3 linked regions of the Diceros bicornis minor genome follow. The protein of the gene in region 1 interacts with the protein of each later gene in a biochemical or structural test. Links are inferred from orthologs where the notes say so. Each region holds a gene or a part of one and is shown on either strand. Other genes may lie near its edges. The genes, in order: NF2, DCAF1 and SPTBN1.

Region 1 (8,031 bases):
AATATCTTTATATATTCCTTTACTTCTTTAATCATGCTTTCCTTTAGTTCTGTGAGCATATTTATAATGTATACTTTGAAATTTTTTTGTTAAATCTGACATCTAGTAGCTCTCACAAGCAATTTCTGTTGCTAGATTTTTCCACCGTACGGATCATACTTCCCTGTTCCTTTGCATGCCTCATAATTTTTCATTGGAAACTAGACATTTTAGATAACATATTATAGCAACTCTGAGGACTGCCCCCCCCCGCTCCAGGGCTTATTATTATTATTTGCCTGTTTATTTGTTTAGTGACTGGCGAGACTGTTTTAGTGAAATCAATTTCCCTCATACAGTGTTAAGGCCTATGTTGTTGCTCCTCAGGGAGGTGCATCTCTGGGTATGCCCACAGTCACCCTGGATGACAGTGGTTTTAGCAGGGCTCTGTTCCTCTCCTTCCCTGATCATGCCCAGCTGTTAAACTCCACTCACTGTGGTATATTATTCTATTATTTTCAACAATGCTCAGGGTGTAATTTGCTCTACAAAGTAATCCAATCAAAAGGTGGCTTTTTGAGGAAACAGTTTCTGAAATTAGTGTTTGATATTTGTTCTGACGCCAAGAGGGCTCTTCCCAGTTGTCTTATTCCCTGATTCTCTCCTGCAAACTACTTAGCCTACAGTCTAGGCTGTTATCTTCATTAGATCTACAAAAGTCCTCCCAATTGTCTTTCACCAAAACCTCCACTGTTCCTGAGAGTACCCTTAAGCATAAACTTCTCTGCTTTGTTGCAAATGAAGTCACTACCTTTGGGAAGAGATTAGAAACCAAGGGTTTTAAAGCCTGCTTCTCCCTCCAGGCAAAATCTCTGAGCCCTTGGTGGAAGGGGGGATGGGGGACACACTAAACTGAAGTCTTTTCAGTTTGCCTCTCCTGGCTGGAACTACCATCTCACAAACTGAGGTTAGGGACAAGAACAACTGGGGTCCAGTATTCTCAGTGTGCCACCAGGGTACAGCCCCCATTCCATAAGTAGGAGCTGGGTGGAAGAAGCAAGTTCCATCTTTCAACTTCACACACCCAGGACTTAGCCTCAGCAACAAGTAGCCTTGGGCAAGATGAGAAGCTCTGAAGTCCTGCTCCTCCTGGGAAGAAAGCCACCTGACTGGGAGCCAGGAGTAGAGGGAGCCCTGTGTTCTGGGTTACAGCAGTCTAGAGTGGAATTTCTACCTTGCTGAGCTGGGAGCAGGGAGGGTGGTAGCAGTCTTGGTTCAAAGACCACAAACTCTCACCTTTCTTACCAAATTTTGATAGATTTTCTTTTTTTTGTGAGGAAGATCAGCCCTGAGCTAACATCTGATGCCAATCTTCCTCTTCTTGCCGAGGAAGACTGGCCCTGGGCTAACATCCGTGCCCATCTTCCTCTACTTTATATGGGACGCCGCCACAGCATGGCTTGACAAGCGGTGCGTCGGTGCGCGCCTGGGATCCGAACCTACAGACCCCAGGCCACTGCAGCAGAGCGTGAGCACTTAACCGCTATGCCACCGGGCCGGCCCCTTGATAGATTTTCTTGAAAAGATGTTTCTTCACTTGATGTTTGCCCTTAGGACCATTTCCAGAGGGTTTAAATTACTGTTTTTTCAAATAATTTTTACCAGTTTTACAGGGGACCAGCTCAGTGGAGCTCCTCACGCTGTCCTGATGGAAGCTGACCCTGTCTAAGGCTGCTTTTGTGCTACATGGTAGAGCTGAAGAGGTGTGAGTAGTTGCAACCGATACCCTACAGCTCAAAAAGCTGAAAATAATTACTATGTGGCCCTTTACAGGAAAAGTTTGCCAACCCCTCACCTAGGTCACTGCTGCCAATGCCAATCCATAGACCACCCTTTGAGTAGCAAGGACCTAAACTACTTGAGAGGCAGTACTGTATTGGCTAAGAGCTTGATTCAAAACCTTACTTCACCATTTACTAGATATATGGTTTGGGGTACCTACCTCATTGGGTTGCTGTGAGAATTAAATGTATGAATGCCTGGCACTTAGAAAGTATTCAATACATGATAACTTATCATCATGATAGAAACTCTACAGAAAGTTTCAGACACCATCTCATTCCTCAAACAGTTTTTTTCCAGAAAATTTAAGTTTTGGAAAAGAGAAACAAGTACAGACTTTCCAATAAAATGACATGCAACTTTTAATACCAGGGGTACATAATATTATCTAATGAAGTAAAACCTCTATAGAGCTGGAGCTGAACCTGCCACTGAAAACTAGAATTCGCTACCACGGATGCTTCCAGCCTCTTGCAATAACAATGAATGAAAACCTTCAAGAAGTGCTTCCAAACCCAAAATTGAAAAAAGCAGCAATTATCTTTAATTTGAGGATTTGGGCCTAGATGGTTCCTTCTGGTTCTAGCAGTCTCTACCTATACCCAGAGATGATATAAGCAGAATCCCTCAAGCTTCCACCTCGACTGTCACCGTGGCAAGGGCGCCCGGGTTGGTGGGGCCCGGCGAGAGGATTCTGGGCTACCCCTCTCCGCAGCCCGTCGGGGCTGCCGGCCGGTTACCTCGCAATTGAACTCCATCTCGGCGTCCATGGTAACGATCCGCACGGTGAACGTCTTGGGCTGCTTCCTCTTGAGTGAGCTGAAGCTCATGCGGGAAGCGATGGCCCCGGCCATGGCGCGGGGCTCAGGCCCGGGACCCTCGTGCCCCGAAGCCTGCGCTCTGGGCCTGTTAGCCCCCCTGGAGGAGCCGCACAGGCCTCAGAGCCACCATGGTGGCCGGCCGGCCGGCCCGGGAGCTGTCTGGGTGGCGCGGGCCCCCAGCGGCCAGCATGGACCGCGAGGACCCTGCCCCGGGAACGGAGAGGGGACTTGGGAGGCGGGCCCTGACGGCCGCGGGCAGGGAACGCGAGCGCGGACCGACGGGGCGGGTACGGCCCGGCGCTCCGGGACTCGGGCCGAGGACGCTGGGGACGCCCGTGTATCAGCCCCTAGACAGCGGCGGCCCAGACTCCGGGCGCCTCTCAGCGGCCGACGGAGGTCTCGGGGCCGCGCCGCAGCCGGGCGCGCACGTGCGCGCGTGGCTGTCACCGTCCTCACTCCGCGCACCCGCGGGAAGCGTCCCCTCCCCGCAGCCCCGGGCCTGCTCCCCGCCCCGCCCTCAGGCCCCCCAGATCGCTACACACAGCGCACCCTAACAGGCGGCCTCCGCCCAGACGCCACGGTTGGCTGAGAACTCTGAGGAAGGCGGGACTTTCCCTGCTCCGTCCAGCCTTCTTCAGAACGACTCCACCAATTGGAAGTTCCGCTCTGACCGGCGGCGGAGGCCTGGGCTCGGCGTTGAGTGGCTATAGCGGCAGTCACTCCGAACGCTTTTGTTCGTAGGGGTACGCCTACTCTAGCAAGGCTGGTTGAGGCGGCGGAGCCCGGCGCGCCTTTCCTGGGAAACCGCGTAGAGACTGGTCCAGGGGCGTGGGAGTTGGCCTGTATGGACCGAGTACGCGCCGTGTGTGGCGCCCCAGGACGTCGTGTTTCGGACACCCGGAGGCTAATCCTGTTTGGCATTTAATTAATTACATTTATTGACCTCTATGTTTCTCGAAAACTTTTGAGTCAGTTGTGGAGGCCGCTTAGGTTGCCAGCAGTCTCCTCCAGATCCTTCTGCCTCTCTTTAGGAGAAATATTATTACCAAAGGGGTGGGGGATAAAAATTGTACCTACTTCATGGAGTTGTTGAAAAATTTAAGTGAGTTAATATATATAAAGCTTTAGAACGGTGGCTGGCGCATACTAGGTTGAATCCTATGAAATTGCTGTTTTTGTAGATCAAAAACGGCCGAAAAAGGGAAGCATTTTTTATTTTGTTCTCTGTGGTTTCCATTTTCGAACCATTAACGTGCATTTATTTTTTTTAAATGTCATCAAAGGTTATAACGTGTGTGTATGATGGGGGATTATAACTTTATGTACTTAAAAATAAATTCTAAGATAATTGAATAAAGACAATTTCATGAGTTTTAACTGAACAGTAAGGGCTCCATGAGTGTTAACCCTCATTAGCATCGTCCCCACCCTACAGCTGAAGAAACAGGCTCAGCATGACAGAGCCACTTGCTCCCAGTCACCCAGATAATGAGAGGCCAAGCTGGGACCCAGGGTGATCCCACTGGGTATTACCACTGCACTGCCCTGCTTCCCTGGTTGTGGCTTCCAAATTGCTCCTGTTGCTGCCTGGAGAAATATGAACTACAGTTCTGGAGCACTCAGCAGACACTTGCTGTAACTATGCTAATAGCATAAGTCTGGCTCTTCCCCATGGGCGCCTACAGCACCAGGAAGCACCAGCCAGGCCCCAGGAGTCACTTGCTGGCACGCTCAGCAGGGCTGCTGTGGTGGAACATTATGTCTGTCTACTCACCAAAAGATTGTTCAGGGCAATATGGGCTTGGTGTGGGAGTGTCTTCATTTTCATCGCTTCAGTTCTTACTTGCAGGAGGGAGAATTGGATTCTCCTATAGTCTCCCTACAGGGACAAAAAATCAGGGTTTTAACCCAGGGCCAAGGCTGCTGACAGAAAATAAGAGGCTCTGGGAACCCACTGAGGAGTAGGAAGAGGAGGTGGATCACACAGCAGGGGCTAAAAATGATATTGATGGCCAGTAATAGCTCGCTTTTATGGAAAGCTTACTAGGTGCTAGGCACCGTGCTGATTGGCTAAACATGCCAAATTTAATGTTCCTGGGGGGACATCCAGACCTGGATGTCCATATGGGTCTGAATCTCAGAAGGGAAGCCAGGGCCAGAATTAAAATAGATGTGATGGAATATTATGCTGGCATTAAAAGTGCCATTCACAAAGAATAAACAGAGATGATAATAGTACCTACCAGATAAGGGTTTGAGAAGGAATAATTCAGATAGAGCTCGTTACAAAAGACCTAACACACAGACACCAGTTAAAATAAATATCTATTGAACGAATAAGTGAAGAATGTGAGGAAATACTATGGTCTCAACTATGGAAACAATATTAATAGCTACCATTTATTAAGTGCTTACCATCTAAGGTATTCTGCAAAGGATTTTGCATGCTTTATTTCTTTTGATCTTTATCAAGATCCTATTTGGTACGTATTGTATTATATTCCTAGTTTATATATGAGGAACTTGGATAAAGCTGAAATTAGGTAATTTACCGAAAATCGTAATTGGTAGAACTGCAATTTGCATTCAGGACTGTTTTAATCCAGATCTTACCTGACTTACATTTCATTCCTCCATTCTTCCAGAAGATCAGTGGTTCTCAAAGTGAGGTCCCTTCCCTCCAGGGACATTTGGCAATGTCTGGAGATTTTTTTTCTGGTTGTCACAACTAGATGGTGTGCCTGTCCTCTATGGCTAAAGGCTAAGGATGCTGTTGGGGCTGGCCCAGTGGCGCAAGCGGTTGGGTGCACACGCTCCGCTGCCATGGCCCGGGGTTCGCCGGTTCGGATCCCGGGCGTGCACCGATGCACTGCTTGGCAAGCCATGCTGTGGCGGCGTCCCATATAGAAAAAAGTGGAGGAAGATGGGCACGGATGTTAGCCCAGGGCCAGTCTTCCTCAGCGAAAAATGAGGAGGATTGGCAGATGTTAGCACAGGGCTGATCTCCTCACAAAAAAAAAAAAAAGGCTAGGGATGCTGTTAAACATCCTACAAGGCATAGGACAACCCCGTACAACAAAGAAGTATCCCGCCCCAAGTGTCAATAGTGCCAAGATAAAGAAATCCTGCTGCAGAGCAATGGTTCCTTTTTTTTGAGTCAAAAACAATCTATTGAGAATCCAATGCAACCAGTGGACCCTTTCCTCAAACGAATGCACACATGCACAGAATTTTGCATATTGTTTTAGGAGATTCATGGAAAGACTCATCCAAGCACATCTATGAACCCCAGAATAAATCAGCTCATCCCCCAGATTAAATCAACTTATCCTCAATGCTACATGTGAGTTCTAGATTATGACCCCTCTGCCAAAAACTGGACTCCGTCGTTTTTGGCCACTTGCAGAATTACTTTTACTGCACATTAGCACAAAGACAGTGTCCTGCACTGAGGGTGTTATAAGAAACAGCCCTGAGGAACTCTGACTGTCTTTACAGTAGAGATTTAGCTGACAAAGGTTCACACAGCATCCTTTCTATGAAGACCCATGAAAAAAACAACTCTTATGCCCCAGTACTTGTATTTCTCATGAGAGGCTGATTTGCTTTTTATTTTTTTAATAACTTTTATTGTGTTTTTCCTTCTTTTACAAGTAATCCATATGCATTATAAAAAGGAAACAAAAAACGGCAGATAAGCAGTGTGGTAGGCATAATTCTAAAATGTATCCCAATGACCCACAGCCTTGTATAATACTCCCCCTTGAGCATGGGCAAGACCTACGGATATGATGGGATATTATTCCTGTGATTATGTTACTTTATATGGCAAAAGGGATTTTTGCAGAAGTAATCCCTAATCAGTTCAGTTCATTAAAAGGGAGATTATTTTGGGTGGGGCTGACCTAATCAGGCGAACTCTTAAAAGGAGGTCTAGAGGTCCAGCATGATGGAGAGAGTCAGAGAGATGCATTCCTGCTGGCTTGGAAGAAAACAAATATCCACGTTGTGAAATGCCTACGGGGCCACAGTGGAAGGAACTCTGGGTGGCCTCTGGGAATGGAGAGTGGTCCCCATCTGGCAGCTAGCAAGCAGAGGGACTTCAGTCCTACAACCACAAGCAGCTGAATTCTGCCAACAACCTGAATGAGCTAGGAGGAGAATCCTGAGTTCCAGATAAGAACCGTGATATGGCTGACACCTTAATTACAGCCTTGTGAAACCCTGAGCAGAAGATCATGCTACGCCCAGATTCCAGACCCGTGACACTGTGAGATAATAAATGTAATTACCACTAAATTTGTCATAACTTGTTACACAGTAATAGAAAACTGATACAAGCAGAAGGAAAAACAAATTTTAGCTTGCATAATCCACTGGCCCACTACTTTCATATAGTACATACTTTTTTGTGATTTGCTATTTTCTCATTCATTAATATATTATGAATATTTTCCCATATCATTAAGTATTCCATAATATAATTTTTGAAGAGCTGCATAGGATCCCATGTATGGGTGTAATTTTTTTTCTCTCTTACACACGTTGTGAACCATGTTACCAATCGTGTTTCTTTCTTGGAGTTTGCTGTTAGGAAGCTCAGAGCCAAATTTGAAGTCAGCCTCTGACAATTGTAACTGGCCTTGCCTTATCTTTGGCTTCATCTTATTTTTCCTGCCCTTATGCCTCACTTTGCATTATTTCCCCACCCACTTACTGTTTATTTGTTGCACTAGCTGTATTTCCTTTTATGAAGTTATGGATCCCTTACTTACAGGTTTTTTTTGTTTATTTATTTTTCTTAGGTCAATACTTTATATAGCAAGTGTTTTTTACATATATATAATTTTTAAACTTTTTTTTAGAACTAATATTAGACTTAAAGTTTGCAAAAATAGTATTCTCTATATCCTCACTCAGCTTCCCCTAATGTTAGCATACCTACTTAATCACAGTACAATTATCAGAATCAAGAAATTAACATTGATACACTACTATTATCTAAAGTAAAGATTCTATTTAAATGTCACCAGTTTTTCCGCTACTGCCCTTTTCTGTTCCAAGATCCTATCCAGGATCCCACAAAGCCTTTGGTTATTTCTCTTTAGTCTGTAATAGTTTCTCAGTCTTTTTTTTTTTTTTTTATGACCTTGACACTTTTAAAAAGAGTATCGGCCAAATATCTGTTGAATTTCTCTCAACTCGGGCTTGTCTTGTTTTCTCATGACTGGACTGATGTTCTAGATGTATTTTTGTAAGCTCACCACATTCCTGTTGGAGTGCGGTAGAGATAGAAACCAAACAAACTAAGAGGCTCTGGCCTGTCTGCAGCCTGAGGCTCAGGAGGTGACTTGAGTCATTAATCATCACCTGGCCCAGGTGAGCTGGG
Region 2 (7,376 bases), on another chromosome or scaffold:
TAAGCAATCAGCCTAGTGGAACACATAAAGGGAAAGTTTAAAGAAAATACTACCTCTAATAAAGGTCAGCACAAGCACAGTAAAATACTAAAATTTTCAAGTTCAATTTAGACACATACATACTTCTGGTATCATTTTCAAAACTTCTGATTAATTATGCCTGAGAATAATTATAATTTTGAGAATAATCACTTGCCCAGGGAAAATATAAACTTACAATAGACTAAAACAATAATATCAATGATAATTCATTTTAGTATCAATGAAAAACTATTAATAAAAAATGTAAAAGGTGCAGTCATCTTGTTATACACAAAACAATGAAGGTGCATTAATCAATTTACTATGTTTGAAAGTGAGTGCTTTAAGTGGTATGCAGAATTTACAGCCTGCCCTATAGTGACACAACAGTTACCACTTAGTGAATAATAGTACGGGACAGACATTTGGCTAAGTAATTCACTACGTTATTCTGAATTTTCACAACCAACCTTCCCCTTTTTTACAAATGAGGAAATGGGCTCAGAGAGGGCCCCAAAACCAACCAAGTGTTACTCGGTAGAAAAGGGTTTCAAGCATCAAATCCCAACTCTGTGGACAAACCTGTGAGATCTCGGTCAAGTTATTTAACTTCTCCAAATCTCAATTTCCTTTTCCGTAAAATGGAAATGGTTCTTGTGAGGGTAAAATGATAATACTGTTCATACAGTGGAATAATATAAAGCCCTACAAAAAAATACATAGAATGTCTTTCTTCTAAAGCATGGCTGCCAAGGTATTTAGGGGTATGATGTTTCTGCATCTTATTTCCCAACGGTTCCACAAAATAAAGAAATATACACCACATTTATAAATAGAAAAAAATATGACAAAATAGTAACAACTGTTGAATCTGGATGGATAAACAAGTGTCATTTTACTATTCTTTCAACTTTTTAGTATGTTTGAAAATTTTCATAACAAAAAGAGAAAAAAATTAAGAAACATTTCCTTTCCTAATTTGAACCAACTCTCAAATATATTGTCAAATGAGAAAAGCAAAGTGTGTGTGTGAGAGAGAGTGTGTGTGTCCCTAGAATAAAATATCCCTGGAAGAATACACAAGGAAAGGATAATATCTATCATGTGTTAAGTAATTGACTTTCTGAGGGTTAAAGATAAGAGAAAGATTTTTCTCTGTATGTTATTACCCCAGCTCTACAATTTTTCCACTATTTTGTAACCTTTCGTAACTTTTTAAACCATAAAATCTGTCCTCTTCTAATACACAATACTGAATGGCATTCAACAGAAACTATCCCAAAGCCTAAAATAAAGTCCACATTAAGGACAGATTCCTGCAAGGTTACAATCCTGAAACAAACATCTGAAAGCGTTCTTCCTTATTTTAAAAAAACAAAAAAATGGGGGAAAAAAATCCAAGTTTGGAACTTCAAATAAAATTTATCCAATAATTAGCATGACATATAAGATCATGTGTAACAATTGTCTATTCCTGTCCATGACCATCTCCTTTACAAAAACAATGTAAGAAAACTGGTAATAAATCAACTTCAGTCACTTCAAACTAACAAGTGGTTCATTCTACCAGACTCCTCCTCTATTAAATTTAACAACTGTACAACAGAAAGAACAGCAGAACACTGCTCAGCAACCACTCAAGAGATTTTGAGCATAAAATGATCTCCTTTATATTCCCCAAATTCTGTATCTATTATCTCAATATCCACAAATATATTACCGCTGGAAAGCGCATAAGGTAAAACTGCTATATAGAAAACCCAAATCTCGACAGCAACAAGCAGAAAAATACCAAACGAATTCCTAAAGAGTCTAAATATACAAGCTTATATAAACCTTAAAGGTAAACTCCAGTAAACTGGAGAAAGAAAATTACAGAATGACACTGTCAATGAACCTCACTCTGTATATTAACAAAGCGTTTAGAACAGGAACATGCTGCTAATATAAATTAATAATTAAAGCACGTAGACTAATTAAAAGACATCATTGAAAAGACAGAGTAAGGAAAAACTGAGGCCAACATGACGTGAACAAGGACGAGTCATTTGGGACTCAAAAAGAACTACTACAAACACTCCAAAACCACTTCAACAAATGTGAAACCCGAGCGCTAACACTGCAATAAGAGGAAGTGACACGGACAGCATCTAGGAAGAGAAGAGCCAGTTAAGCAAATGCCTCTGACACCACAGTTAAAAACAACTATAAAACCCCCAGAAATAGGCTCCCGGGAAGCTTGGTGGGCACTTGGAAGGTTTGGCTCCACGCTGCAAGCCCCGCACACCTCTCTCCACCCCTCCGCTCCACCCTCGGTGTGACAGAACTGGGCGGAAAGCTCCGCCCCCCTAACCCGGGTCCGAGAGCCGGGCCACGCAAGGGGAGGTGGCACGAGGCCGAGGGAGGGGAGAGCCCGCCCAGGTGACTGGAGCTGGAGGCGGAGACAGTCTGGGAAGGGGCCCGCCGTACGGCAAGGAAGATGGAGCCCCCCAGCTCGTACGGAACCGAGACTGGGAGGATTGGGAAGAAAAAGGTGACGAGGGGAATAAGAGGCGCCCTTCCTCCTGGTAGGGGTGGCACAGTCCTGCCCCCCACTCCGAGCAGAAGAGTTACTCTCGGAAAGCTGCTTTCGCGGACTGGAGGAAGAACGTGGAGGCCCCGCCCCCAAGCCAAGAATCTGGAGGAGGAAAAGTCCTGTCAGGCCCCGGGCCCAGCCTCCCCAGCGGGCCGGCCCGCCCCCTCCCCGCCGGCGGCCCAGGCAGGTGCCGCCCCTCCCCCAGCCCGGCGCCCACTCTCCCGCCCGCACCGCCACGCGCCTTATCTCCTCGCGCCCCTCCCAGAGAGCCGTCTCCTTCCTTTCCCCACTCACCTTCCCGGGCGGCTCCGCCGCTCCCCCCTGACCCCGCCAGTGGCCACAGTTCACACACACCGCCTCAGGTCCCGCACTCACTCTCCCTCACTCACACACAGCGCGACCACGGCTCCGGAACGGCCCACATATTATGCGTCACTCGCGTGCTACGTGCCCCGCCCCCCCCCGCGCGCGCGCGCGCGCGCCCCGAGTTGGCGCGGGGCTTGCTGGCAGGAGGCAGGAGGAGAACGCCAGCGCCAACGGAGGAATATCGACGAGCCCCGGGGCCGCCGGGAAATGAAGTTCCGCTTCTAGGGGCAGGGCCCACTAATCTTGATTTGCGCGTAAGCACTTCGCCCTCGCGCATTGACTTCTGGAATTTGTAGTTTTTAGCATAAACACCAACTGCTGTGTACTCATTGGCTGCTTCGGTAGGCGGCAGCGAAAAGTGAGGCACTCAATGCTCCCAAGCCAGGGCTGTTAGGGCTTGATACCTTGTCAGTACCTTTTCTGCCCTGTGTGACAGGGGGGAGTCCTTGTTGTATTCTCTCGTTTGCCCCATTATACCTAGAACATACCAGGATGTAAGAAAATATTTCTGGCAAGCATATCAGAAATCATAGCACTCATTAAATACAAGGCACTGGTTTTCTTTGTCTTTCTGTTCAAGACCTAGCCTGTAGGATCAACAAATATTTATCCTAGGTAAGGAAAAAAAATCAAAAGGACATAGAGTAAGGCAGGGCTGACCTCAGAGGTCATCTAATTCGTTTATTTTGCAGCTGGGAAAAATGAGGCCCAGAGAGACTGAGTGACTTGCCTAGCATCACACAACCAATTAGCTTGGGAGCAGAACCAGAACTATCCCTGACTCTGACTCAGGGATCCCTTTTTAGGGACATGAAAGATAAATGTGACTCCACAGCTTAACAGAATCTCTCCCTCACAACATGCTACCCAGCTTTTGTCTCCCTGGGAGTCCTGAGCAAGTTTCTGTGCATTTCTATGGAGTCCTCACAGCCAACACTTTCATGGGGGAACACAGGACACAGCAAGCCTGCTGCCATGCTCAGGTTCTGTAACTAGTAAGAAGTTAGCCAGAGCCTAGAAGCTTGATTCCATTCCCCACTGGACTCCATTCCCCTTCTTTCCAGAAAACAGACCTCTCTCCTTCACTTAAGTGTGTAACTTGGAGCAGGTGTTCAGGCACAAAATTCTAGAATGTGGAGTGGCAGCACTGCAGACATGTCACCTCTCTGCAACCCTTTCACCCACCACAACACACAGCTCTCTTCTCTGTGCTTCTGGAACTTTGCCTATATCAATAATTGTCACTACCATTTTCTTTAACCTTACAGCAGGCTCAGCTCTGAGCCAAGTTTTTTACCCACACTTTTTCATATAACCCTCACTACCACTCCACAGGGTAGATTTGGTTAGCCACATGTACAGATGAGAAATTTAAGCCCAGAGAGGTGACCCAAGGAATGGGGACTAGTTTTGTGGGTTCAGAGGCTGGACTCATTAACTTTCCTATGCCTGTCCTCCAGCACTCCTTCAGCTGACTTTCCTTAAGTCACTTTCCTAACGGCCATGCCTCCCTGGGCCATGAACCCAAAATACATGAGGATAGAGTGTTCAAGCCTTAGATACCCTCCTTCTGTCCTTGGTCTAGCCAGCGCCTTGGTGACTTTCCCCGCTGGTCCTGAAAGGCAGAGCCCTTGTGGGAACCCAGGGTCCAGCTCGCCTGCTCCTGGCACTGCCTCAGCCTGCCACCAGATGGCACTACTCTCCTTCAGAAACCCAGCCTGGAGCCCTGGGTCAGTAATGGGAGTGAGGGGCATCGCAGAGGGGGTTTGGAGAAGCCAGGGCCCAGGAGGCTGGGAAGCAGACCAGGAGCTATAGAAAGCCTGTCTAGCAGCTTTTCCGTCCAGATTCTGTGCTCTGTAACTCCTGTAGCCCCCTTACCCCTGCCAGCACCCACACCCACAGCCCTACACTTGCAGGCACTCCCAGACTCCCACTCTGGGACTCCCACTGTGAATCATTGGAAAGATATTCCTTGGCCTCCTTGAAGAATATCTCTGGAATCTGTCCCCCCTGCTCTGCCTGTGCCCACCCACTCTATGATGTGCCTCAGAAAGCAGCAGCCACCATCCAAAAGGGCAAGGAGTAATGCTTGCAGGACTGCCCAGTGTCAGAGAAAGGGCAAAAGGGGCAAAAGCAGCCCAGTCCTGGCCCCAAGGGCTACACACTTAGCTATGCTCCACCCGGCCTCACCCTCAAGCATGCCCATGCACTGGGGTAGGAAAATCGATAGCATCAAGTCCTCTGGGCTTCAGGACACTACTCATCTTTCTCCCTCTCTTCACCCTATCACCCTTCTCTCCCATCACCTACTTCCCAGTCTCACCAGAGCCAGGTGCTCCCACCAGCCCATCCCTACCCTGGTGCCACCACAACTCCTGTGCCTCCTCCTGCAATTCCCCAGGGCCAGGAGGTGAGGCCAACTGTCCCACATCCACTCCCGCTCTGCTATTGGCTGAACAAGACTGCTACTGCAAGTGTCCAGGAGTCACAGGAGCTGCCAAGGAGAGGCTCGGGCCTGCTAGACTCTGGGAACCCCAGTCTGGACAAAGAGAGAATTCCATTCATTTACTCAGTGACTTCCCCCTGCCTGGGAGCCCCAACAGCCTCCTAGAAAAGTGGAACACTACCCTCATTACACATGAGGTATGCAAAGGAACCGCTCCTGTGTGACTACATCCATGCCCACCACTCTCGTTTTACAGAGGGAGAAATTCAGAGTTCCCATAGTTTAAGCCACCACCTTGTCCAGTGATCACAGCAGCTGCAGTTTCCAGAAACCAGTCCCCACCTCCTGCTCCCACAAGCACAACTTCATAGAGGGGCTTGAGGCTCAAGTGGGAAATGAAGCAGTGACCCTCAGAGCCACCCCAGCTTCCACATACCAGGGCTCCAGCCAGAGCAAGGAGCCCACAGAGGAGGCCCATGCAATATTTAGGACATACTTATATTTTCAAAATTATTGTTTATCTGAAATTAAAAGTGCACCAGTCATCTTATGTTTTATCTGGCAATCCCACTCAAAACCACTGCTCTGCCACAGACCACAAGGACTCCCTTCTGTGGCCCCCAGGGCCTCCCTTAAATCGTTGCAAAATAGTTAGAAACAAATCAGAACAGCTGCCTCCCAATGGGTCTCATTAAAAATTAGATAAGCCAAGCAGTCAAGTCTCCCTTATCTAAAAGCTGATGATCTGGGTGATATAAGGCTCAAATCTCCCTTTCTACCCTTTTCTCTTTAACCCTATTGCTGATGGTCAGAGATGAGAAAATAGTTTTTCCTCTTTATTGGGAAGAGTTTGCAAAAGGAGACAGGTCAGCAGCTGAGTCCAGCTTTGGAGGCAGACAGGCCTGCATCCTAATACTGGTGTTCCCATTTACCAGCTGTGGGACCTTGGCCTAATTGCTTCACCTCTCAAGCTTCAGTTTCCCTGCCTGGAAAATAGAAATAATGATACCTCCTTTCTAGCATTGTTATGAGGATTAAATGCGATAATGCATATAAAGTGCTTAGCTTGGGGCCTGGCACACAGTAAGTGCTAACTACATGATAGCTATTCCTATTTGGATTATTCTCAGTCTGCAGCAGTCCCAGCGCAGTTCTTCAGGACCACCTCATCCGGGTCTGGTTCCTCTTTCCTCCAGTACTGCCTGCTGGAAGAGCTCAGGCTTTCCTCATTTAAATGAGAAATGAGCTCCTTATCAGAAAAATCCTAGGGCACATTTACGGAAGCACTGGGAAATAGTAGAGTAGCCACTCTTGGAGATCACCTGTTCACTCTCAGCAGAGAACTGAAAACTGAGGGTGTCGGAGGGTGCATTTAAGAGGATCTGCTCCTAGGCCTCCTCATGCCCGCAAAGGCTACCACTGATCAAGGGTGAAGCCAAGGAGCCCCTTGGATGTGATGCCAGACATATCACCTTCCCCAAACCAGCCCATGGTCCCTGCCTCCCTGCTGGGATGAAGCTTGCATCTGGAAACCCTACCCAGAGCACACCCACTTCCTTCCATGTGGTTCTCAGGCAGGATGGTGATGTCACAATCAAAGTAGAGGCCAGAGGGGGTGGCCAGAGATGGTATACTCTGGGCCTCCCTCACAATGGACCTGCCCAGCACAAACAGGGGCTGTAGCATGAAGAGGGCCAAACTCTGCCGTCCAGGTACTCCCAGGACCTGTCAGATCTCCCAGCCTGGCTGCCACTTATCATCTGACTCCCAGAGGCTATGCTCTAGGTCAGAGTTAGAGGTTGGGAGACAGGGCAGGGAAGGTAAGGAGAAAGCACTCCAGCCTCTTTTGTCTCAGGTTCCTGGCATTGTAAATCCTTCTGGGAAGAAACAACAGTGGAGTCAGCATTGGAGAGAGAAGCCCTTGGATTTTTGGCATTGCCTGTTTGTAGCCACAAGACCTTTCTACAG
Region 3 (7,985 bases), on another chromosome or scaffold:
CACAAGTAGAGAGTGAGGCCTTCTCACTAGCTCCTACAACATCTCAGACAGTTGTTACTAGTCTCACCCAAGAGATGCTCTTCACAGAAAGCCTGCACAACAGAAGATGACCAGGCGCTGGCAGTTTCTTCACTGCCGCAACGCTTCTCATCCTCTCAGTTGAAGGTTTTGGTCAGTTCAGAGACACAGAATTACAAAGAGCTTAATCTAACAGAATTCTGCAGCTGGTGTGTAAGTCAGAACAGCTAAACCTCCTGTGACATCAACACAGGATATTTTCTTACAACACAGTAGTAAATCCAAAATGTCTGGATAATCCATGGGAACAGTACTCCCAAACATCTTTATGCAACATGATTTTATACAACCAGCACAACAATGAAGGCCAAACCCAAAAAGTTCTACATTTTAATGGCCCTCTATCAGAGAAACTCAAAATAATGCACATAAACCACACAATTTGCATTCAGTTCTACTCTGCAGAGCCACATAAAATCAAATGCCACTAATTTGGATTCATTAGAGATTTAAAAAATAAAAGTAGACACGCCCTTGCTTTACAACACTGACCTTCCCTTCCAGTTAGAATACTAAATTCTCTTTTTCACCTATACATTTTAGAAGAGCTGGGGTGACATTTGAAATGCATCTCATTTGCCATTCCACACTGAATAAATGAATTGTCGAAGTGGCATTTAGAAGAAAAATTCCCTGTGTACTAGTCTAGACTAAACAAGACATAGGGAACCATCTCCTTCTGACCAGATAACAGCCACAGCGGCCTTGGGGGTCTGCCTTTCTCAACCCCCTCCCCAGCCACATCTGCAAAAAATATTTATACGAAAAATACATATAAACAAACATAAACGCAGTCAGTTACCATCACAATCCCATTAGTCATAACTGGAGACAACTTGCCTATCTAAATCAATCTGAGTACTTACCATCAATTATGACACTCATTTACCTAATAATCCTTAATAAAGAATCCAAATATGTAATTGTACTTGATTTACAGAAAAAGCAAACAATAAAAACAAAGCAAATACAGGTTAAAGAAACCATTTACTATCCATCAAAAAATAGGTTCCTTTTAAAACAATCTACTGAATGTCAGTATTTTTAGAAATGCCTCAAGGACACAAAAACTAAAATATATCAATCGCTTCATTTCAAAAAATGGTTTCCTCTAGGAAAAAATCCTTCTCCGTATTGACCAAAGACCGAGGTACAGTAATGTCATAGCTGCGAAGCTCCAATTAATAAACATGAACTTTCACATATGAAGAAACCGAAGGATAGTGGGGTTGTAGTTACAGATCATGGGTGATCCACAGAAAGACGCTGCGACTCCCAATACCGAATGCACCACTGCCTCCGCACACCGCTGGGCCCCGTCCTCCCTGCTGCCCCTCCCTACGGTTCAGGTCCCTCGGTCGGAGATCAGATTGCGGTCCGCAGCCGCAGGCCGGCTCCTTCTGCCCGCATTAGCGCTGCAGGGCGCCCCTTCATCCGAGCATAGCCCAACAGGCGGGGCGGAAGGGGGTCAGCCCAAAGAGAAGCCTCCCCCCTCACAGCGAGGTGACCTGGTCCTCCTGACGCCACATCCAGCTGAAGCAGCATGACAAGGTAGACGCAGCTCCGAGTCTCGGCCAAGGGCAGCCCCGGGCCTGGGTGGGGCCGGGCGGGGGCCGCAGGCGCCGAGTGGCCGTGCCAAGCCCCGCCAGCGAGAACCAGGGGAGGCTGCGATACTGCTGCATTGTGCTGCATCACGGCGAGGGCACCGTGAGCCATCCATCTTGCCAAAAAAGCACATCCCCGCCCAAATAAACCCCACCGAATCCATTTTTCTCCCCCACCGAAGCACCCCCACACTCGTCCTCTCCTAACTTACTATCGGGCCTGGCTTTTGACTGCAAAAATGGACACGGTTTGTGTACTGATCCCCACATTTCCCCTCCCCATCTGATGGCAAGCACTGGGCATCTTTCCTAACAGAAAAACAAAGGGAAGTCTCTCCCCCCCGAAAAAGAGGGCCACGAGCGTGGTGTGAGGAATGATGACGAGAGGGGCTTCCAGCCTACCACCCCAAAGGCAGGCCCGGAGGGGCTCCGCGCTGGTACAAACCTGTTGAAGAGAGGGTGGCAGGAGCTCAAGGGCGGGCGCAGCGGCGGCTCGGTGCCCCGAGGCGGCTCACGCCCAGCACTGGGAGAGTGGGGACGACAGGGAGGGCGGGGAGCGGCCGCGGAGGGGGGAGCGGGCGCGAGGATGGGCGGGGGTGAGGGGCGCCGGGCCGCCGCCTCCGGTTCAGCTGCAGCGCAGCGCAGTTCGGACCACGCCTGGCAGCATCCCCCGTACCGTTAAGCCTAGAGCCCGGCCCTGTCAACGCCGCCCCGCTCCCCACCAGCCGGGACTAGAGGGAGGCCACCTGAAAATACACCTTCCCTGCAGCCTACTCCGCACCCACCCCCGCGCCAGGGGCCGCTGCGCCTGGCTGGAGGGAGGCGGCGGCGGACGCAGGGAGAAGGAATCGGCGCCACTGCGCCCGGGGATGAGGCTGGGCGGCCGCGGTGCGCACCGCTGGTCTGCGGCCGCCTCACTGCAGAGCCCACCGCCCTCTGCCCCGCATAACCCTAGCAATAATTAGCACTGGAGACCCAGGCTTCCCGCGCCGCCCCCGCCCGGGCTCTGCAGCCTCCCCGCCCCCACGCCGCTCCCCCGGCGCAAGGCAGCGGCAGGGCAGCTGCGTCCTCCCGGCCTGGGCCCGCGCCCCTCCTCCCGCCCGCTGCCCGGGAGGCAGCCCCAGTGAGTTGGCATCTTCCAGCCTCAGGCCCCCTACCTACCTCCCGCGGATAGGGGTGGGGGCGCCGGAGTCCCGTCCTCCTCCCGCTCCTTGGCGGCCGGGCGGGTGGGCCGGGAGGCGACTCCGCGGGGCTGTCCGCGGCTGGGGCCGGGGCTCACAGGACGGGACCAGTGGGCGCTGCTGCGCGGGGCTGCGCGCTTGCTCCGGGCGGAGAGGCGGCCGAGGGAGGGACTGGAGGAATCCGCAGCCTGCACGGCAACAGCTGCACTGATTCCGGGGGCTGGGCGGGAGCGCGAGGTGGGCGGGAGGAGGGGAGGGAGCGCGCAGGGAGGGGGCGAGGGGCGGGGAGAGAGAGCGCGCGGGCGCGGGCGCCGGGTGCGCGCAACACGCGCGCGCACATGCTCTTTCCCGCACACCCTCCGCTCTCCTCTTTTCTCCTCCGCTCCTCCCTCCCTCGGTCGCTCCCTCTCGCCTGCCCCCGCCCCTGCTGGCAGCCCCGCAGCTGCTCACCCAGAGCCTGCTCCGCGCGCGAGCGGATCCTGGGGCGCGTCCACGCTTTCCCCCGCCGAGGCTCTGCCCCCGCCCAGCGCGGACCTCGTCGCCTGCCGCGGGGGCTGGCCGGGGCTGGCCTGGGCAGGATGGGCACCGTCGCCGCCGCTACCGGAGCAGAGGGACAATGAGGGCTTTGTCCCCACAGCCGGCGAGGGCCAATTTCACGTTTAATTTGAGGCTAATTCGATTATCGCCATGGAAAGGCGCAGCTTAATTTTCTGCGTGACTTGTGCAGCCTCTTTTCACCCGCGATGTTTGCGTTTGGAACGCGATGGAGAGAGCGTGCTGAGGGAGGGTTTAGAGCGTTGGTTGGCTGGTTTGGTTTTAGATCTAGGTGGTGTTGCCTTATAGGTTCCGCTCAGCCTGATGAAGAGCGATAGTGACTTCTCCGTGGGAAACCTTGGGGCGATGAGGGGAGGGAGGTGGTTCTTCGGTGAAGTCAAGATCTTCCTCCGTTGTGAGTGCTTTTTCATCCTTTCCCTCGGGGTAGCTGGGAACAGACCCCACAAGTGATTCATCCAACTCCTGCCTCTCGCCCAAACGCAGGCTTACTTTCACCTGAAGCGATGCTTTTCCGGAGCCACTCCTACGGAGAGGGGACGTCCCGGCTGCAGTGGAGGCCTTGCGATGGCTGGAGGGGCCGGAGTTCTCCCCCTACCCACAGTACGAGACGGACTCCGGACCTTTTCTCGAATTTTTCTCAACTGTCAGTGCCCCTTCCCAACCAGCTTGCCCACCCTGTCAACCCCCACAAGGCTATGTAGAAATTCTGGAACCGCCACTGTTGGGGAAAAAAGATGGTGTCATCACCAGGGCCATGAATAGAAACGCTCTTTAGAAAGCAGTCTGGAGAAAGTGACTTTCTGCTTGGTCTGTAGGTGTCCAACTGCGGCACTGTAAGCCTTCAGAAGGAAGAAGGCTTTTCTGGGTTGAAAAAGCCCCTTTTTCCCTAGAGATCTGACCCTCAACCCCTGAATAAAAAGTAGAAATAAAAGGCAGCCAAATAGTTTGGGTCATGCTTATATTTCAAATCAATAGACCAGAAGCCTGATGGGTTTATATTTGTGTGTATATATATTTTGTGTGTGTGTATGTGTGAGAAGATTGGCCATGAGCTAACATCTGTTGCCAATCTTCCTCTTTTTGGTGGGGAAGATTGTCCCTGAGCTAACATCTGTGCCAGTCTTCCTCTATTTTGTTTATGGAGCACTGCCACAGCCTGGCTTGATGAGCAGTGGGTAGATCCACGCCCAGGATCAGGCCTGCGAGCCCCGGGCCGCCAAAGCGGAGCGTGAGAACTTAGCACTGTGCGACCGGGTTGGCCCCTGTATATATTTTTTAAATGAACATTTTAAAATAAAACTACATGAAATTGTCCCAGCAAAGTGAAAATGATTCTTCCTTTTAGGCATTCACCATCAGTTTGAATGTTTGTATCAATGTTTACATTTGATATTTATGAAAAACAATGAAGGCAAGTAATTTAACATTTTTCTCAGAAGATTGATTAACATAGCCAGAAGGGGAACTGTCCAAGGGCCAGGTTCTTTGACTGTACATAGCAGGCACTTAGAAGGTGATCAAAAAATATTGGTTGAATTGAATGGAACAGAATCGGCATGTAAGGGCTGCCCTCATTAGGTAATACAGGAAATCCACTAGGAATGAGAGTTGTTTCCCTTTCACTTAGTTTGTGCCACGGCCCCCAGCACCTCCCCACCCACAGTGTTGATGAAAACCAAAGAAAACAATGGCAGTACTGGGAAATGCCTGTTGAAATTTTTCCAGTGTGATTCTGAATTGGTGTCTCTTGACTGCTTCCTTTATCGCAGATAACAGTACTTGAATAATCTTCATTTGATGGATGAGTCACCTCCCCTACCCCATTCCACTCCCACTTACTTTTTTTTTTTTAATTTTTTTTGTGTGTGTGTGAGGAAGATCAGCCCTAAGCTAACATCCATGCTAATCCTCCTCTTTTTGCTGAGGAAGACCCGCTCTGAGCTAACATCTATTGCCAATCCTCCTCCTTTTATTCCCCAAAGCCCCAGTAGATAGTTGTATGTCATAGTTGCACATCCTTCTAGTTGCTGTATGTGGGACACGGCCTCAACATGGCCAGAGAAGCGGTGCCTCCCTGCGTGCCTGGGATCCGACCCGGGCCGCCAGTAGTGGAGCGCGCACACTTAACTGCTAAGCCACAGGGCCGGCCGCTCACTCCCACTTACTTTTAAAAATTTCCTTCAAAAAGGGAGGCCTCACATAACCTTAGCAAGGTACTCTAGTAAAGTGGCAGTAAGTATTCCAAAAATGTGAAAGACAAGGATTCAAAATTTCACTATTAATACCTGCCTCACAATTTCAAATTCTTACCCTTTGGTGGAAAAATATCATCACCCAGGACAGCCCAGTGTACCGCCGACCAAAAAAAAAAGTAACAGGTCAAAGAAAAGACAGTCTAAGTCTGAAGAGATTATTGGAGAAGAAATACATCTCTGTGGAAAGCAAGAATCTAGAAAAAGATAAAAAGCCTTGGGCAGTAATGATGGTAACAAAGAATTATTCTCAGATATCTCAAAAGCAGCTTTGCTGAAGTGTAACTTCACATTAGCATCAAGGTTGATGTAAAGGAACCTAGAACTCATTGATATCATGTCTGTAACATACCCCTCTCCATTTTTAAAACCATGTGATTATATATGGCTTTAACTCCCATAGAGGCAGTACTTTATTACAAAAATTTTGCAGAAATAAATTGTTATTTTAACTTTCCATTCAAAATGTAGGAGGAAATCTTGTCAACATATATAGTAGTCACTATAGACTAGGTTATCATGTTATAACTCACAGTCCCCAAATCTCAGTATAATATGCAAGTCCCAAATTAACAAAAGCTAATTTATTACTTATATAAAGCCAACTGTGGTTTCAAGATACTCTCTGGGGAAGCTGTCTTCCATGTGTCAGCTCAGTTTTCCAGAATACTTTAATATTATGGTACCTCCATGTCAATGGGCGCTTCCACAATCTCCACTGTAGGGGGAGTGTGATGGAGGGTTAAGTACCAGCAACTAAATACTTCCACCCAGAAATGATGCAAGGTTTCCTCCACTCACATTTCATTTGCCAAAGCAAGTCATGAGGCTACATCTGAAACCAGATATTGATGCACAGTACTGTTGTGCGCCACTGCCGGCTACTTTAAGTCTTTCCTTGGTTATATTAACCCAATTAAAATCCATCTTTTATTGTACTGATAATAGCCTAAAATTTAAAAATCAGAACACATTTTGAAAACTTGAATAAATTTTTTTCATTTCTATTTACTCTGAAACGACTTTTTTTTAACCCCGAGCTAGTCTGGGAAGTTTCCTCAGATTAGAAATGTTCCATTTGGTTATTCACATGTATTAATTTTGCCCTGGGAAAACTTAAAGACTTACATGTTTAAACTGTCATTATTATGAGTGAGTATTTTTTGAGTACTAACAATACATTTATTGTATAAAATAATTCATTTTTTCATTTATTTGAGAAATGTATATGCCGTAATCTGTTCTAGGATCTGAAATAGAGCACTGGGCAAAACAGTAAAAAAATCACTGCCTTCATGGATCTTCCATTCTAGTAGGGGATAGAATCAATCAATAAATAAGTAAAATATATATGTGATAAATCTGAATATATGGTAATCTAAATATACAGAAATAACATAAAATGATCAGAATAAACAGTCTCAGCTTTCTATAAACGATCTTCAAATTTTCTTTTAATAATCATAAGCAGCGACTATAAAATACTTTCCAGTTTTTAACGTGCTTTAGCAAATGTCATATTATTTTGTCCTTTTGTCAGTTCTGTGGGGTAGATATTAACCCCATTTTATAGGCAAGAAAACTGAGACACTAGTAGGTTGAATGAGTTGCCCAAGTTTACACAGCTACTAAGTGCCAGAGATATCTGCTTAGAAGCTAGTATATCAGAGCTATGTGTCTGGTCATTGCATATTAATTATTAAAAAGTAATTCTGTTTGCAAGATGAAAAAAATTCTGGAGATGGATGGTGGTGATGGTTGTAAAACAATGTGAATGTACTTAATGCCAGTGAACTGTACACTTAAAAATGGTTAAAATGGCAAATTTTATGTTATGGATATGTTGCCACAATTTTCTTTTTATTAAAGAATTTTTTGTTTTGTTTTGTTTTGGTGAAGAGGATTAGCCCTGAGCTAACATCTGTTACCAATCCTCCTCTTTTTGCTGAGGAAGATTGGCCCTGGGCTCACATCCGTGCCCATCTTCCTCTACTTTAAATACATGGGATGCCTGCCACAGCATGGTTTGATAGGTGGTGCATAGGTCCACACCTGGGATCTGAACCTGCTAACCCCGGGCCACCAAAACGCGAACGGAAGTGGAACGGGCGTACTTAACCACTATGCCACCAGGCCGGCCCCTATTACCGCAATTTTTTTAAAATTCTTAAAGTAATTCTGAATTTAGACCTCTAGAATAGTAGAGAAGATGCTCTCTTAATGCTTCTTCACTTAACCCGCTTGTTGGATTGCACTCTTCACTCCCTCTGTGTTGTAAGTGTATTGACTGATGTCCATGGCAAACCAAACACACT

Evidence for each region.
Region 2: the proteins of NF2 (region 1) and DCAF1 form a complex in vitro, tested with the Homo sapiens proteins (3 studies listed by BioGRID, with this or other methods). The link is inferred for Diceros bicornis minor from reciprocal best matches to the Homo sapiens genes NF2 and DCAF1.
Region 3: the proteins of NF2 (region 1) and SPTBN1 form a complex in vitro, tested with the Homo sapiens proteins (2 studies listed by BioGRID and IntAct). The link is inferred for Diceros bicornis minor from reciprocal best matches to the Homo sapiens genes NF2 and SPTBN1.

What each region holds. Positions count from the first base shown.
Region 1 is NC_080774.1:23,186,900-23,194,930, reverse strand, and holds the start of NF2 (merlin), read right to left. Parts: upstream 3,082-8,031; 5' UTR 2,676-3,081; coding exon 2,562-2,675; intron 1-2,561. UniProt on the Homo sapiens protein: Probable regulator of the Hippo/SWH (Sav/Wts/Hpo) signaling pathway, a signaling pathway that plays a pivotal role in tumor suppression by restricting proliferation and promoting apoptosis.
Region 2 is NC_080741.1:52,254,969-52,262,344, forward strand, and holds the start of DCAF1 (DDB1- and CUL4-associated factor 1), read right to left. Parts: upstream 3,060-7,376; 5' UTR 2,891-3,059; intron 1-2,890. UniProt on the Homo sapiens protein: Acts both as a substrate recognition component of E3 ubiquitin-protein ligase complexes and as an atypical serine/threonine-protein kinase, playing key roles in various processes such as cell cycle, telomerase regulation and histone modification.
Region 3 is NC_080751.1:31,959,649-31,967,633, forward strand, and holds the start of SPTBN1 (spectrin beta chain, non-erythrocytic 1), read right to left. Parts: upstream 3,007-7,985; 5' UTR 2,844-3,006; intron 1-2,843. UniProt on the Homo sapiens protein: Fodrin, which seems to be involved in secretion, interacts with calmodulin in a calcium-dependent manner and is thus candidate for the calcium-dependent movement of the cytoskeleton at the membrane.